Arabidopsis thaliana: one gene and its partner. The protein of the gene in region 2 interacts with the protein of the main gene of each other region in a pairwise test. Each region holds a gene or a part of one and is shown on either strand. Other genes may lie near its edges.

Evidence for each region. Proteins that work in one complex are often made in the same cells at the same time.
Region 1: the proteins of AT5G27810 (region 2) and AT5G54360 interact in a two-hybrid assay, tested with the Arabidopsis thaliana proteins (one large-scale study listed by BioGRID).

The regions. Positions count from the first base shown.
Region 1 is NC_003076.8:22,069,036-22,074,254, reverse strand, and holds AT5G54360 (C2H2-like zinc finger protein), read right to left. Parts: upstream 2,394-5,219; coding exon 1,581-2,393; downstream 1-1,580. Other genes in the region: AT5G54350 (C2H2-type zinc finger protein), read right to left, coding at 3,335-4,120.
Region 2 is NC_003076.8:9,853,042-9,858,064, forward strand, and holds AT5G27810 (MADS-box transcription factor family protein), read left to right. Parts: upstream 1-2,629; 5' UTR 2,630-2,785; coding exon 2,786-3,145; 3' UTR 3,146-3,417; downstream 3,418-5,023.

The DNA of each region.
Region 1 (5,219 bases), about 12 Mb from region 2:
GATTGTTAATTTGCGAAGTAAAAATACAAATTTGCAAGTTGAGAAGTATTCATATTCCTCATGTATTCAATATTGACTCTCATTGTCTAGCAAAAACTATAAAGTTTCATCATATAGCAACTCTCAATGCTATCAACTTCTAGACCACGATGATTGAACAAGAAAAACAAACTTCCATAAAAGCAGTGATATTAGGGTTTCAATAGTTAATTTGGTCGACATTGAATAAGATATTGGTAAAAATCGTGGCAACATTTTTATAATATAAAATTCTAGATTCCGTTTTGCTATTGTATATGTGCTTTAAGAAGATTGAATCTGAGGAATATGGAAATGGAAGCGATGATTTTCTGAGAGGTCATCCTCAACTTGAGCTTTCGCCAGAAGCAGTGAGAGCGAGACTTAAAGAGTTGGCTTTGGCTTTAAGGAAGGGAGGAGGACAAGCCTTTATAAATAATAAGTACGTAGCTTACTTCTTTTAGGATGATTTTATTGTTGGGTCTATCAACCCAACATCTCAAATGAAGCGACGATGTTCGGTATTATTCCTATGTAACTACTATGTAAGCTTTGTGTGAGGTATCTACAACCATAAACCTAAATCTTCACGAACTTAAATTAATATATAAATGATCTGCACAAGCTCCAAATGCAAAATTATCAATCTCCTGCTTGGAAGAAAAAGCACTTGTGTTTTTCAATATTGACTTTCATTTGTTTGAGAAAACAATCCAGTTGATCCAATAGACAATTTTCAATACTATCAACTTCTAGACCTCGATCTTCATACTATGGAATAAATGTCTTCAGGAAATTATCTTTAAAAGGAGATTTCTCTTGAACAAGAGAAACAAAAATAGTTTTGATTTTTGTTCAATAGAAAAGATCTTTGGAGAATGGAGATGCAAACATCAGTTACAGCCTTACAGGTTTTTAAGTTTTATAAATTCTTACTAGGATTACAAGATTATATTAATACATAAAAAAAATAACAGTTTTATTGGATAACAGTTGTATCTTTTTGTTACAAATATCCTGAAAGATGATTACATTTGTAATACAATCTAGTAAATCGGATCTGGGTCAAGGAAGAAAACCGGGCAAACTGGAACCAGCGAAACCCTAATCGTCAAAAGGAAACCACTGCCTCTTTTTTTTTTTTTTTTTTTTTTTTTTTTTTTTTTTTTTGTGAGGTTACAATTACAACAATAGAAGATCAGATAGACCTTCTTTCTGCCTCTTATTTTTTTTTTTCAATTTTCCAAGGCTAACAAATTGTCAATGAAGAGATAATGTCTCTTTAACTAATGTTTTTAAGCAAATTGCAGATTCTCTCTAACCTTTGAAAAAATTAAGTTCGCTTACGAAAATGACTTCTGAAAATCTCAAAAATTTAAGAACAATCATGAAATGTAGGAATTGAAAAAGGGATTTGATGAATTAATCGAAACATCAAAATCATCAAAAAGACAACAAAGAAACAAAAAGAGAAAAACAATTGCATGAAAAAAAGAAGAGGTGAACATAGGCCTCAATAGAAAACAGAAAACTGAAAAACACAAAGGGACATAGATAAATTACTACTCTCCTCTTGATCTTTTTTTCTTGGGCAACCACCTTATCATCCCGATATCCTCATCATCTTCAGGCACCATGACTTTGTTTTTCCCCTTTGAGATGAGACTTTTTGAGTGACTAGAGCCCGAACCATGCTCTTGTAAAGCAAAAAAATCATAACAAAGATCGGTGGTTGGATAAGCAGGAACATGTATATTGCTTGAATCAACCTGGTTTCCAGCAACCAAACTGTATCTAGGCACACAAGGACCCACGGGAGTCATTAGATTCCCATGGAACGATGAGTTAGTGTTGTTATTAGTGCTATTGTTGCTGCCTCCTGTGGACTTGGATGGACCAAGAGTTAGATCAAGATTAATACCATCAGTTGATAAAGCATGTGAGCTACCACCTTGGCCATACTTACAAGGGCCAACAGGAAGCCTTTGCAAGGTGAAAGGAGTACTATCACAAAGCATCGCATCCTCGATTATCTTTCGCTGCTTCTCCAATTCTCGTTCCTTTTTGTGGCACTTCATGTGACCGCCTAGGGCAAAACAGCTTTTGAAATTCCTCTTGCAGAAACGACAGGTGTGGCTGATCTTGTTATCCTTGGGAGGATGTATTAGCACGGTATCTCTTTTCTTTCGGAAAAAACTTAATCTGAAACTAGGCATCTCAAGGTTTGTCCTTTCAGACACAATCTCTTGAGGAGACCTTTGTTTCGGATTGTTTATTGTCTCCTTCTCCTCCACGGCCACAAGGGCACTTTTGAGTTTTTGATCATGTTTGTGTGGGGAGGAGGAGCTTGAAGAAGACATAGATTGGTTGTTCATAATTTGTTTTGTAAAACTTTGCTGACAGTTAGAAGTGAGTGATGTCTTATCTCTTTGCTTAGAGGCGATATTTATTGAGAGGATAGTAATTATTGTATTTAACTCGTTAAGGTATATAATCTCCAAGGGTAACAAATATTAATTGATACCGTAAAACTACTTAATTTTGTTTAAAAGCAATAATTGTTTCTCCAAGACTACAACTGTCATTCACTTTATTCTTTAATTTCTTTCTAGAAAATGATACTTCATAAGATAAAAACACAACAATATAATCAATATTCTTCATATGCGTTACGTATGACTACTATGAGTTATCTATATTCTTAAAAATATGGTTGTTTTTCTAACTATGGTGATTTTATACATTTTGTCTCTTTAATGTCTCTTTAACCTCTTTAACCTTTTGAAAAAATAACGTTTGCTTACGAATAATTGGGCCATGAATTCTGAAAATTGCAGGAATTTTAGAGCAATCATGAGATATAGGAATTGAACAAAAGGGACTGATGAATTAATCGAAACAACAGAGATTATTTGAAACGAAACGAAGAAACAATTGCATGAAAAAAAAAAGAGAGGTGAACATAAGCCTCAATAGAAAACTGAAAAATCAAAGGGACATAGATAAATTACTACTCTGGTCTTGATCTTTTTTTCTTGTTCAACCACCTTATCCTCCCGATAGTAGTATCAGTATAATCATCATCATCATCATCATTTTCAGGCACCACGACTTTGTTTTCCCCCTTTGAGATGAGACTTTTTAAGTGACTAGAGCCCGAACCATTCTCGGGTGAAGGAAACAGAAGATCGGTGGTTCCATTAGGAGGAGCAACAGGAGGCTCCACGGCTTTGTTCTTTTCCATTGAGAAGAGACTTTTCGAGTGACTAGATCCCGAACCATTCTCCTGTAAAGAAAAAAAATCATGATTGTTGTTTCAATAGGGAGGAGCCAAAGGAGGCACCCTGACTTTTTTTCCCACTTTGAGATGAGACTTGAGTGGCCAGTTTCCCGAACCATTCCCTTGTAAAGAAAACAAATCATAACAATAATAGGTGGTTGGATAAGATAAAGCAAAATGACGCACCATGGCTTGGTTCTTTCCCATTGAGAAGAGACTTTTCGAGTGAGTAGAGGCCGAACTATTCCCCTGTAAAAAAAAAAAATCATGACAAACATTGTTGTTTCCATTCGGAGGAATATACCTAGTGTTTGAACCAACCGGGTTTCCAGCAACAAAATTGTTTCTAGGCACACAAGGTAGCACGGGAGTGAACAATTTTCGATAGAACGATGGGTCAGTGTTAGACCAAGAAGATGGGTTAGTGTTAGACCAAGAAGATGGACCAAGAGTGAGATCCAGATTAATATCATTAGTTGAGCTGCTACCGCCATACGCTGGACCAAAGAGGCCGAAAGAGGGCACTGGAAAGCTTTGGAAAGGCGGAAGAGAAGTACCACCAGAAAGCACCGAGTCGAGATTTTTATCCTTTGGAGGATATTTTAGCTCGTTATCTCTTTCCGTTCGGACAACTTCTAATGTGAAAACAGGCAACTCAGGGTCAGGGATCGTGTTTTCAAACACAACCTCTTGAGGGGGCCTTTGTTCCGGATTGTTCATTGTCTCCTTCTCTTCCACGGTCACAACGGCACTTTTGAGTTTTTGATCAGGTTTTTTTGGGGTGGTGGAGGAGCTTGAAGAAGACACAGATTGGTTCTCCATTTTTTTTGTAAAACTTTGATGAGAATTAGAAGTGAGTGATTTCTTCTCTCCGGAGACGTATGGTATATATTGAGAGATTTAATTACTGTGTTGCACTCGCTAAGGTATAAAATCTCCAAGAGCAAATAGCATTAATTGTAACAGTAAATCTACTTTGAATTCATTGTTTTTTGTTTAAAAGAAATAGTTGTGCCTCTTAACAATCTTGACTTTTTTTTTTCTTTCTTAAATATACACCAATTTAATTAATATATTTCAAATTTGACTAGATTTTGTTTATATGAAGTTATGTGTTATATAACTACTATGAATAATTATCCATAGTTTTAAAAGTTATGGTTGTTTTTCTAACCATGTTGATTTATACATTGTCTTCCAAATTAAAATTTGGTGTGCATTATGTACCAACTGGCTTTGTATAATCTAATATTTATTTACTCATGATTTCAAGTACGTGTGTCTCTAGTTATCTTGACTTTGTTCTTTCTGTTTTCTAAAATGATACTTCATATGTTAAAAATACACCAATTTAATTAATATATTTCAAATTTGACTAGATTTTGTTTACATGATGTGTTATATATAACTCCAATGAAAGATAGAAAATATGGTTGTTTTTCTAACCATGGTGATCTTATACATTTTGTCTTCCAAAATAATAATTTTGTGTGCATACCAACTGGCTTTGTATAATCTAAAATTTATCTACTTAGCTAAAATATATCTATAATTGTTATAGTATACGTCATTATGTGTAAAAGTAAATTAAAAAAAACACTAACTCATTTCAATTTTTTTAAAAATGTTACGCTTCAGTTCGTTATATCGACCGTTGCAAACTGGTAACTTCATGTTATTTCATATAGCAATTAATATGTAAAAAATATTAATTGATATGTAAAAAAATGTATTAATAAGCTAAGTAATACAAGATTATATTTTCTATTATATGGAATGATGTTATTTTTCACTTATTTTCTCTAATATATATATATATGATAATTGCAAATACAAAGAAAGGGAAACACACCATTGTATATAGAATGTTAAATTTTGAGTCATTGTACATACAAACTCCAGCTATGTCTTAGTCAGCTTT
Region 2 (5,023 bases):
CATACACAGTAGTAAGCATTGATATAGTCATTTCTCATAATATTAATATGATAGAAATGTTTCTTAGAGTTATTTTTATGTAATATAGATATCATTGAACTGAACCAAATGAATTTCCGTCGAGAGTATTGAAATTGCGACAAGACAGCTTTATAAAAATCTTTCTCTCTAATTACTGTTACGGTTTTACTAGAACTACTTGTTTCTGTTATGTTTAGTAAAATTGTTTTACTTTACATGAATGATATATTGATATCGGAATATTCAAGTTTCAAGACTGTTGTTAACTCTGACAGACACTATCTGTTTTATTTATTTATTTACTTTTAAGTAATACATTCAAAATTTGAGATGTATAAATGGATAAGAAACCTTGATATATGTTTCAAAAAGCAAATTGAGGAGAGTGTAATAGTAATAATGTAAAACAAAAAGTTGAATAAACGATTTTGGCTCACGTCATTGTTATTAAAAATGTATGCATGCGTGAAAAATAAGTGTAGGGTAAAAAGAAGAAAGTTTGTTGAGGCAAAGTTGCCTTAGAAAGCGGGGGAATTTCTCTCTTTCACTCACTGACATTATGTCTTTGTGTACTCACTCTCAGTACCAGTTTATTAAAGTATAAATAAAATGATATTGATGAAGAGAAACAATATATATTACACGAAGATAAAAAGATAAATTACGTAAGTAATATACTAATATTGTCATATATTTATGGAGACATAAAAAACCAAAAAAAAAAGATCTTGAGGTGATGAAAACGAACTTTTTGCAAGCGTCGTTGTTGTAGGCATTGCGGATGACTTAAAAATAATCAAATAAACAAAGAGAATGATACGTTTTATTAAATCATACATATGTCTTAAGTTATATTTTAAAATTTTAAATCATAGCCTCAACGAAGTTTGAAAAGGGATTTCAATTAATTTTTGCAAAAAGTTAATAGCAAATAAGTTCAGAGAGATAGAAAATAAATGTATCATCCAAATAGAAGAAATATAAATAAAGAAGAAAAAATTGATGTTAAAAAAAAAAGTTAAGGAATAACCCGACCCGAACAACCCGGTTTAGCCAAAATCTCAGGACTAGAAAATAATCAAATATGCTGGCAAGGCCAATTCGGTCCCATTAATAACTTATACATTGAATATCATAACATTTTTTGTTTTTTTCTTTCACAAATTATAGGAAAAATGGGTAAAAAACCATCACCAAATATTGTGTAAATATTTTACTAAATTGCATAACAATTTATAAGTTCTTTATAATATACACCATTCACCACTTAGTTTATTCTAATTATCTACATATACATTTTTGCAGCCACTTTGTAAAATAAATCCTGGAGTTGGGATTTATTTACAGTGGCTGCCACTGACATTTAATAATTATTTTAGATAATTAGAAAGAAAATCTTCTAATTAAATATTTGACATTTAACAATCTTCTTAAAATCTTTCTACCTTAACTACACGATTAATTACTAAAATAAAACTTTCAAAATATTTAATATCATTTAATTACTACAAAATTATCATTTTTGATGTTGCTTTTCTGCATGATTATAATCATCAAATCGCAGAGATATTTGATAGCATGTAATTACTACAAAATTACAAAATATTTAGACAATAATTCATAAACATATCATAAATAAGGTCAACATTAATAAAATAAATGAGTTTTCTTTACAGGACAGGTTGGCGGGACGGGTTTGGCAGGACGTTACGTAATAATAATTATAAACTATAAAATAAAAATATTTTATAAATAGATACAATTTACAATATATATATTAATTTAAAAAATAAATTGTTCCCCCGATATACCGCGAGTTTAAATATAGTTTTATATACATTTTGCTAGACTGCGATCTTGTAATCTTCTGATAACATCACAAGTTGGATACAATTTTTTTTTTCTCATCATGTCTCTTCTAAATTTTATTCTTTTTTCGTTAACATTTTATCCTTCAACTTACCACCCTCGTTATACTTTTTTTTTTCATTTAAGAAATGTAGTTTAGTTTTACATGCCTTTACTTATGAAGTTTTTAAACTTTACGATGGGTATTGTAATTTTGCTAACCTATTTTTAATATATATATAAAATCAAGAGATTTAAAAACTGATTTCTTAAAGAATTATCTATATGGTAAATAGTTCATGATTAATTTACCAGTCAACAACCGAGATTCAATGTCTCCAGCAAGGGAAATAATCACAAAAATATTTTGAAACAAATCTTTGACTACCTTTTAATACCATATCTTATTAATCATCACAATATTTGAAAATTATATATATTATTAAATAATTATATTAGTTGCATCATGTTTAAATAACATTACCAGATTGATATTTATTGATGATTTTTGCTGTTAAAAACTAAATTTGCTAGCTAAACATTTTATCCTATTTTATTGTTTTGATGTTACCACTCTATAAATATTTGGACTATAGTTCTACATATGTCAATCAGTAGTGATAATACATGTAGTAAATAAGAAAAACGGTTATAATCTCTATCTTCAATCCATTCAGATTTTTTTTATAATGTTCATGCATTAAAGCTTGATTTGGAAGTTTATATTTTCTTGTATTAAAATAAAGATACCCTATATAACAAATATTTGTACCTTCTCAGTACTACATAATACTACACATTAACAATCTCAAAATATACAAAAAAACATTTTAATGACGAGAAATAAAATGAAACTTGCTTTCATTTCCAACGATTCTTCAAGAAAAGCAACTTTCAAAAAAGAAAGAAGGGGTTGATGAAGAAAGTACATGAACTCTCAACTCTATGTGGCATCACATCGTGTGCGATCATCTACAGTCCGTATGATACCAGTCATGAAGTGTGGCCATCAAATTCTGGTGTGCAAAGAGTGGTTTCCGAATTTAGGACACTCCCGGAAATGGATCAACACAAAAAGATGGTAGATCAAGAAGGTTTTCTCAAACAAAGGATCGCGAAACCGACAGAGAATTTGAGGAGACAAAGAAAGGACAATAAGGAGCTCGAGATGACTGAAGTCATGTTTCGATGCTTAATTGGAAACATGGAGATGCTTAAATCAGAATCACAATCAGAATCAACAACAATGGTTTATGAAAATGATGAACCATCTTGAGCAAATGAAGTATCCAGGAGAGCAAATGGCGTTTCAATTCATGGATGATAGCCAACACAACCACATCCACCGTCATCAACAAGAGCACCAACATCATATCCCTGGAGAATCTTCCATCGCTCTTGATGTCGGCAACTCAAGCGATATCGTACATAGTTCTTGTTCTAAGTATTTCCAATAATAAATGGTTTCGTTAGGATTTTATTTAATGTGGTATTACAATAATTTCGAGAATGGATTGATAAGTGAATTTATAATTAGCTTTCAGTTTTTTTGTCATGTAATAGATTGCATCACAATTTATGTTTTTATTGTTATCAGTTTGATGATGGTGATATTTTTCATTCTATTTTCACAATGATATGTTGTTTTTAAATTTAGAGATTTGTGATACTCTTATTTTTATTGTTTCATTTTTCCGTTTATGTGTTGTTTTTCAACATATGTCTTACCTTTATTAATTCTTTAATAACATTTTGAGCAGATTAGATTTAAGGTTTCTTTTCAATTTTAGAACTGTTGAGATTTTATATTTTTTCTTTCAAATATAAAATATGACAGCTCACATTTTAAAAAAGAAAATATTTTCGTTTAAAGTGTTAAGTACAAATATTATATAATATATAATCAATAATATACACTGAAATGTTAATGTACCTAACATATTGTAAACCATTTAAAATTCTTTTAAAAACTCTTGTAAACCCTTTAATATTATGTGAACCATTTTAAAAGTCTTGTGAACCTACAACTCAATTTACTGTTTTATTGTCTTTTAGGTTCATCTACTTTGTCTAGCTTAATATTAGTCATCATAAGTTTATTGTGTTAACAACGAGAGCTTAGTGGAATTTGACCCTTAAGTGCTAACAACGATCTCTTATTTGTGGGAGTAAGCATAAGGCAATTTGAGCTATATCAACTCCGAAGCAAAACAAACTACATTACAAAAACATTTTAATCATGACTATCAAAAAACAAAATCCTTTTAAGTATTTTATCAACACACACTTGAACTTTAAAATCATAATAAATTTATTTTTAACACCATCAATAATATTTTTTAACACCTTCTGACATATCAAATCAACTTGATCTAGTAGAGATTATATAAAACAAAAAATTATCATGCAGTATACTATTACTTAATGACAATCATGCATAAATTATTTGCAAACTTTTATATAAAATACATAATCATATTAAAATCACAAATTTTAGAAAACAAATCATCCCATGGTGTAACATATCAATACCTAGTTAATGCTACAAATTTCAAGCCCAGACAAAGATATACATTTATCCCACAAGTGATGAAATATGAAAACCATTAATGGTATAAAATCAAATAGAATATGAATGGATATTCATTAGCAATTTAGCACTAATATTTTTCATTTAGTCAATGTATTCATTCTCATTTATGGGAATGAGTGGATTTTGATTTTATATTTTATTATTTCTTTAAAAGTTTAAAACTCAACCATGTGGAGCATAAATTGTTATGCTTTTTAGGTTTTTATTTAAAGTACAAACATATATATATATATATATATATATATATATATATATATATATTATCTGATTCACAAGTCACAAACAACCATAGTAGGGAAACTGATAGAAATGTTAGATTTGTCTAATTACCGGAGGAGCTCCTCCAGTTGATTGTCGTCTGATTGTTTTCCGTTGTCAAACTCAAACATCTCAATAGCATTTCCACATCTTAGCGCTACTTTGTTTTCGACGTGACAAGGACCAATCATTTCCCAAGCCGCCTTTTCATTCACTTTAATCTCATCCTCCATAGCGAGACCCTACTACACGGCCATGTATTGTTTTTTGAAACTCTATCCATGATCGTGTAGTAGAGTCTCA